2 linked regions of the Styela clava genome follow. The protein of the gene in region 2 binds, or shares a complex with, the protein of the main gene of each other region. Links are inferred from orthologs where the notes say so. Each region holds a gene or a part of one and is shown on either strand. Other genes may lie near its edges.

Region 1 (3,934 bases), on a different chromosome or scaffold from region 2:
AAATTTCTGGTATTTCCATTTATTACAGTATTATGGTACTGGTATGCTTGGCTCCAATTACAGCTCCTGTTCTTCAGCCCCAGCGGAAATACAAACAAATGGCCAGATGCTAACAAAGAATAGCCCTGGCATTATAGGTCATACAAGTTCCTCAACACCAAACTAAAATTGATCCAGTATCAATTGTAATTCTGAGAGAGCCCCTTTCTAAATCACACGATTTAATTCTATTAATTTATACTGATCGTACTTTATAGAAATTTTTTTTCTATCCATTTTGAATTGATTTTACACAATTTTGTATTGCGAAAGGTGCCGTATTAGTATACATGTCCACTGAGCAGAACATCGGGCACTTGTATGTTTTCCAGGCACTTTGTGGACTATTTTTAATTCTGAATATAGAAAAAGTAGAATACTTTAAAGTAGGGCTGTCCAAAATCGAATAATTTTTCGATTTGAATCGAATATTTTTGCCTAATGGAACCGAATAATCGAATATCATTGCGCAATCCTAAATCCGTCTCTAACATACAATAAACGCCTGCCCTTCGATGTTGTGGAAACGTATGTGCAGTTACATCTTACTTACAGCTGGTATTTTGTAATACAATGTTTTCAGATTTATGAAAGGAGATCACACGCTTGTATGAACTGATCAAAAAAATTGGAGGACTCCAAAATTTGGGTCTCGAAAATTGTTGAGTGTTAAGAGTAATAATTGCACTATTCAAAAATTGCAATCTCAATTCTAATGGATTCAGTTGTAATAGGACATGTAAGGCCTGTAGATGCTATTTTAATCCTATTCACTAGTCTTATGTTTTTTTTGTGTAATTTTCAGCAAAATAATAACAAACATTAATATAGATAAAACTGTTGCTCAAATTCAAAATTGCATTTACCAAATTCAAAGCTAGTTTGATGACAATATTATTCTGTTATTTGATGACTATAATATTGTTAGTGTACAACAGCCATCGAAATTCAAGAGCGCAATTATTTGTCTTGGTATATAGATGGATAATACAGTATTGCCATCATAAGAAATTACAAATTCCATTGAAAGAAGTTCTTGCCATCATAAGGATCCCAAAACACCTGTTTCAGCTTTGAGTTACCTGTACTGTACCATGTTCCTATGATAACTAACTCCACAGCTTCAAATCGATTCTATTTATGGAACTATCGTTTTCTAAATTGTATTTCACTTACAAACTGAGAGAGGTGCTAATTTATTAGACTTTCAATCTATTTGTTATAACATTATGCAATACTTACCTCAATTTCACAGCTTGATTATAATTGAATTATATTCTGAATATTTCTCGATTGCTTGAAACATCACATCCTTTAAACATGGTTGCATCGAAAGATCCAACAGTTGTTGATTTTATTGTTGTGGTTGAGGCAACAGCCAATATGCTATCACATTGGGAAAAGATAAAGAAGTCTTATATAGGGCCAGCAATTGAATATTTTAACGGAAGACAGCCATCCCCATTAGATTATGTTGGTAACCACGGCAACAGTCAGTTCGGCTATGTTCTCTTCAGTTCTGCAGACTGTGCCCCTGATTTAGTAACAAGATGCTCAAATGTCACCCAAAGCCCTTGGGAGTTTTCCCACAGTTTGAACTCCATTTCATTTTCTGGTGGAGGATGTGAACGATCTAGCCTTGTGTCTGAAGGTCTTGGGAGGACCCTACAGCTGTTTGATGAACTTGCCCAAAGGCGTCACCATGAACGTTCCATGCAAGTATGTTTTTTGGTTTGCAATTCTCCACCTTATGATATTCCATGCAGTGAAGCTTATATGTACAATGGTCACACTGCTGGCAAGCTAGCAGAAATAATGGGTACTAAAGGTATTCATCTCTCAGTGATATCTCCGCAACAAATTAGGTCTCTCAAGGACTTATTCATTTCTGCTAATCGAAATGAACTTCCATCTATGAATTATGCTCAAGATCCAAGACATCTTGTTCTTATCAGCGGATTTCAACTTCCTACAGAGCGTGATCCTGTGAAACTCAATATCAAAGATGAGCAAAATCATTCAAAAAATGCATCGAAAAATAACACATTGAATTCAATTTCTGCCACAAGTTCTTCCTCTATTCCAAGTCCATCTCAACATCAAACTGCATCATCTACCACAGTTACTCACAACACACAACTAACTTCTATTGCATCATCTCCCGGTTCACTTTTCTCTACTTCAGTACCACAATCTCAGCCTGGACAGCTAATCAATACAGGTGCAGCATCCACAAATACAAATCAGAACTCATTACCTTCAGGGCAGTCTGTAATGAGAACACAGATAGCACAGGATTTAAATTCAACTTCTCTTGGAAAGCTGCAAACAAGTTTGCCAAGCTTCTCTGTAAGCCAAAATCTTCAACCTCAACCGCAGCAGTCTAACATGAGTATGAATTTTACCAATTCCAAGAACTCAAATATATTACAGTCTGGCAATGACTCTCCTTATTCCAGATCATCTCTTGGTCAGGCATCTAACAACAGCGTCATGTCTCATGGATCTGGCAATGTGGGAACCACAAATCTTAAGGACATGCTGCAACCAAATGCACATTCGTCACATACGCAGATACCTATTTCCAATGTTACTTCGTTCCCACAACCCTCAGATAGTAGTGTCAACATGGTTACAAACAGCATGGGAGGAATAACGGCCACTATTCCTGAAAATTCTGATGGAATGTACAACCAACAAACTCAACAGCAGAATGTATCCATGCAAGACCAGCAACAACAGCAACGATTAGGAAATCAACAAATAACTCAACGCATAGGTGATACATTCTCTTCTGTACCTTCAAACATGCAGCAGGCGCAGCCGTACAGTACTCCTAATGCATTAAATTCCGGAATGCAAAGTAATCAACAAATTTTGTCAAACAATATTAATACATTTACTTCATCATCAAATTCTTTCCCACCAAACCGTGGCATTCGACAGAGTTTCAATTCATCTATGCCCTCTCAGCAATCAGGATCGATTCAAGGAAATGTCACTACTATGCATCAGATGAATAATCCAATTCAACAACAAGCTGGAAACATGGGCATTGGTGGTTCAGCACAACAACCAACCCACCTTTTAAATCATGGGCAAGAGCTACCATCAACATATCTTAACACTGGGAATGTTCCAAAACCTGCTACAAGACAGCCAACAGACAACATGAGGATAACATGGGATGGCATTTTAGAATGGACCGAAAAAAGAAAAATAGCACAAGGAATTCAAGGAACTGCAAGAACTAACCACACTCTCCAATGCAAGGTATTGTTGCGCTCAACTCAATCAGATGAATCATTGAATGCAAACCTGTGGCCAACCAAACTGAACATGCAACTTATTCCTCAAATTGTATTCACTTCAATGAAAAATCAAATGAAGAATAATATTTCTGTCAGTTTGCGAATGTCCCCACTTGACCAAATGCAACAACTGGCAAATATTATGAAAAATAAGTGGATGGGATTAATCCAGATACCTTCTCCGAGTCAAAATTCTGCAGAAAATAAAGTTATGCTAGTAATATATTCACAAAAAACTTCTCAATTTTTCGGGGTTCTTCCACTTGATCCCCATAATTTTATACAAACAATCAGATCTGTAATAGCTCGACATAATCCTAGCCAACCAACGCAGTCTCGGCCAAACAATCCTGGTGCACAACAGTTACTTCAAGGCAATGTGGATCAGGGTGGAGGAATGTCAGGCTTGAGCTCATTTCAACCGCAGGGCAATACTCATTCAATGGCACCAAACCAGTTCAATGTGCCTAATTCAAATCCCAACATGAGACCGACTATGAATACTATGCAACAGCAGTCTATGACAAGAAGCGTAATGAATACTGGCATGTCTCAAGTGAGAGGAGGTATGCAAATGCAATCTT
Region 2 (3,934 bases):
ATTTTAGGTGAAGTTGTTAACCCGTTGATTCAATACGCAAATAAAAGTGAATGAGCAATAGTATGTTACAGCAATAAGTATATATCCTCACTGATTAAAAAAATCTAAATGGAGGTGCATGAACTATTTGAAACCATAAGGGGTAAGTAAATATGCAATTTCGGCAGATGGCCAACTACGTACCGTACTGAATTATAAACTTCGTAGTATTTGACAAAAGCTGGCTTTCCCGCATGTACTTAACAGTGCGATGCCCGGGTGTGATATACAACAATAGTATTTACCTTACTTTTTTCCGATTTCTTTTTACCTTCAATTTTCCACATATCATTAAAAACCACAACAATTGTCGAAGCAGGCTCGAACACCATTCGTGCTATGCCTTGAAAGCAACACACATCCGCTCGTTTTCGTCTCGTCAAGTATGTGCATTGGAGCGTGCTATCGAATACGATCTTCGGCCAAAAATGCCGGAGTTGCGCATCATGTTGTTTAATGTCATTGCTCCAACTGACCCATGCATGCCACACTGAAAATTCTCTTGTGTACCCATAAAATAAGGCTGTTGGAGCCTTCAGTCATTGAAAACAGTCGAATCTGAGCACGATGGATTTGTTTTCAGAAGCATGGACTTGGATGGTGGGGAATGGTCGTAACCGATCAGTGGTCATGTGAACCACCCTCGGTGGGAGTAGAGATACAATCCTCTCGCATCCTCTCTGTAATTGAAACCTGTGAAACTCTCAGGGTGATCAGAAATGCGGTGGCGAGCGTATTCCTAGATGGCGAATTCAATTGAATTCTGGTTATTTTTTGCATGACCACTGTTGTTAAACTTTAGTTATTTATTCAACCTTTCACACTTAGTAATAGATTACCTGCTAATTAGGGAAACAATACCCTATAGCAATTGATTATTAATTCCTTACTGTCTTACACAAGTTAAGTCTGCAACTGCAAGTAGGCCTACTAATAACAGTAGTTTGTCATCTGCTTTCCATTGAAATGAGGGAGCTTGTGAATATTTAAAGAAATTGATAACGACACACTATCACCCCATTATCACTCACCATCAACGAAGTGCTGTCCGCGAACAGTGAAACACATGTAAGATGGCTTCTGGACTTGACACCAAGCTTTTCTGCCAATGCAATAGGCAATCAGGCAACAGATGATATCCACATTGCGCGACGTTCCGGATCTTTTGAAATCAGTGGAATATAACTGAAGATCCATTTCGTTGTCTATACTATACGTACAGCCAACGGTACAATACGAAATAACCATTTTCAACAGCCAAACAAAACGGAAACGTATAATCCGACTTGCGACTGACAGGAGCCAAATGGACGTTTTTGTTTTATTGCCGTCCAGTAACAGAGTCACGTGACCTGTGCAAGTGGATTCCTAAAATTATATAGCGCTTTGTGCGGTGGGCTTAATCTAAGATCCTGGCCGACGGGGAATCCCCTTTCAATGTAGTCGTTTGCTCGCAGTCGTAGCCTAGCTTGTTATCTGTATAAACAACAAGAAAATGGAGCTTGTTTATCGGATTAGTTCAAATGCAAAGTCATCAGTTCAATCTCTCGGCCACTCCAGTAGTTCTAGTCCCATATCTGCAACATGGTCATGCAATAATCTTTTGGCATATCCATGGGAAAAAGTAGTCAAAGGTTGGTTTCTTTCTGCCATAATGAAGTTTGCTTGTTGCTTTCGTATCGTTTTAGTTTTTGAAAGTGTTCAAAACAATGTCAATTCAAAAATCAAAATTTAGAAGCCTTGAAAATAAATAGAGTTGAATTCCAACTTAGCTCTGTAGCTTGATGCCTGTAATAACTGAATGCAGTAATGAAAGCTTTTCAAAATATAGTAATATTTAACAAATAAATCAGTGGAGCCCATCATCTATTCAAATGTCAGTGGCTATTAAAACTCTCAAAAACCACTTATGATGTAATAATTTAGTTCCTACTAAGAAGAAACTAACATTATACAGTTATATGGATTACAAATGATGCAATTATGCAGTTTATGGCGAAATGAAAAAAATGTGTAAAATATAAATAAAAAAGTTTGTTGACATGCATCAACTTATTTTTACGACTCGCGAGTTATATTATGTGAACCGCTATGATGTGTAATTAGTGAGGAGTAGGGCTATATGGCTTTATGCCTCCTCTGGCATTGAATCTCCAGTGCTTTTAACAAAAAAACTGTTGTAATCACTTCACAAGAGCCAGAGCTTGTAGAACAAAGAACCGAATGCGGCTCAGAACACTCGGGTTGCCGATTGCTAATATATCTGTATATAGTATGCTAATGCCATAATCCATATTCAGGATACACAGAAAGATATGTCAGCATCATTGATCCAAATCAGCCATGGAATGTCCACACAATATCATTCGATAAAGCTTCTGTAAAAACTTTGCAATGGAATCAAACAGGTAAATTGAACATTTCAGCTATTATTAGATCGTCTAGATTTTGACCTTTTTTTCTATTCACATATAAATATACATCAACTGTAAACTTTAAAAAAATCAGTGTTTCAGTAGGGACGTTTGATAGACTGTGGTACCATCTGCAGTCAACTTTGTGAAAATGATTAGTGCTTGCTATTACACGTGATCAAGGATCAAGCGTGAATTTTGCTTATAATTTTATAATTAATTCTTATAATTTTGATGAGTCATCTTTGAGGTGTGTGCTAATGCAGCGGGATATCGTTAGGCTAGTCAGCTCGCTACCCTGATTTTTAACTCTTGTAAATACGTTTTCCATTGAACCTGATATTCAAGGACTTGTTAAAGTGCAGCAAAGGATATACTCATCTCATTGAAAGTAACAATCAAATTATGTCTTGTTTTATTTACATGTTCAATAAAATACAAAAAATGGTTACGTACCAAAAAAATAAACATACAGACACTTTCCAGACATTTTTGAGATACAGAAAGTTGGCATTTAATTCATTTTGAGCGTGTATATCTTTGTTTCTGTAACAAGGCAACAAGTTACTCTGCTCAACTTCAACTGGTTTTTGCAATGTATGGATTTCATCAAATCATCTGACAAATGTTTGGAAAGAAAAATCGACTTATGGATGCGACTTACAAGGGGAAGATATTTTGGCCTCATCATGGCTATCGAATGGACGAAAGGTACTTTGGCGTAGCTATCGTTATTTTTTGGAGCTGCCTAGCACACAGTTCAACTTTTAAATATTTTATCTTATATATTATAATCCTGAAACATGATCCCTTTTTCTAAAACAGACTTATATTAATTCAGAAGTTATTTGAATTAGTTTTCAGCTTCAGTCTTTATTATACAACTTCAATTTGATTGTGTTCAGACTTCAATTCAAAATTTGAGCAATAACTTAGGCTCAGCGGTGGGACGCATTATGAAAAGCGTCAGGAATACACTCGTCACCGCACCTCTGATTACCCTGCATGAGTTCGCAGGTTCGAATCACATGCGGGAATAGGTATGTGCGAGAGAATTGCTGGACACTCGCCTCGTAGGCTGGTACACGTAACCACTGGTCTGTTTCGCATCCTCCATCATCAAGTCCGTGCTCCTGAAAACAAATACCTGGCTAACTAATTTCATACCCGACATTGTAATTCTGGACTGCAGAAAGCATTTATTTGAGTGAAGTTGTGAAATTTCTCACAATTCAAATATATCTTTTCTGTCAATGATATTAGATTTCAAATATTTAGATTTTGATCTCGTTTTTTTTATATGATATATAAACCAGATTATTTAGTAATGTGTGATATTGATGTTAAGAAATTCTATGTAGAGTAATAAAAGTGATAAAGAAGATAACAGAATCTTTCTCTATTATTTTATTTATATTCGCATGCTTTAGGTTGTGCTTCACGTGGACAAGTTGGACAATCCCAAAGAAAAAATATCGAGA

What was found.
Region 1: the proteins of mediator of RNA polymerase II transcription subunit 16-like (region 2) and mediator of RNA polymerase II transcription subunit 25-like are in contact, whole or in part, in a cryo-EM structure (PDB 7EMF), measured with the Homo sapiens proteins. The link is inferred for Styela clava from reciprocal best matches to the Homo sapiens genes MED16 and MED25. Residues at the interface, in NP_005472.2 of Homo sapiens: Cys41, Arg42, Ser92, Ser94, His113, Arg161, Lys163, Phe171, Gly172, Gly173, Lys174, Pro195, Gly485, Tyr486, Ala516, Ala517, Gln520, Val521, Thr524, Arg525, Ile554, Ala555, Ser558, Lys561, Ser562, Leu563, Leu564, Arg565, Pro566, His567; in NP_112235.2 of Homo sapiens: Ala26, Asn27, Gly29, Pro30, Tyr31, Val74, Asp75, Cys76, Ala77, Pro78, Glu79, Val82, Cys84, His85, Pro87, Lys102, Phe103, Met104, Gly105, Gly106, Gly107, Gly108, Glu109, Thr120, Gln123, Leu124, Asp127, Phe128, Tyr151, Leu152.

Annotation. Positions count from the first base shown.
Region 1 is NC_135258.1:20,078,004-20,081,937, reverse strand, and holds the start of mediator of RNA polymerase II transcription subunit 25-like, read left to right. Parts: upstream 1-1,257; 5' UTR 1,258-1,359; coding exon 1,360-3,934. UniProt on the Homo sapiens protein: Component of the Mediator complex, a coactivator involved in the regulated transcription of nearly all RNA polymerase II-dependent genes.
Region 2 is NC_135264.1:6,227,689-6,231,622, forward strand, and holds the start of mediator of RNA polymerase II transcription subunit 16-like, read left to right. Parts: upstream 1-1,456; 5' UTR 1,457-1,534; coding exon 1,535-1,673; intron 1,674-2,339; coding exon 2,340-2,447; intron 2,448-3,009; coding exon 3,010-3,164; intron 3,165-3,883; coding exon 3,884-3,934. UniProt on the Homo sapiens protein: Component of the Mediator complex, a coactivator involved in the regulated transcription of nearly all RNA polymerase II-dependent genes.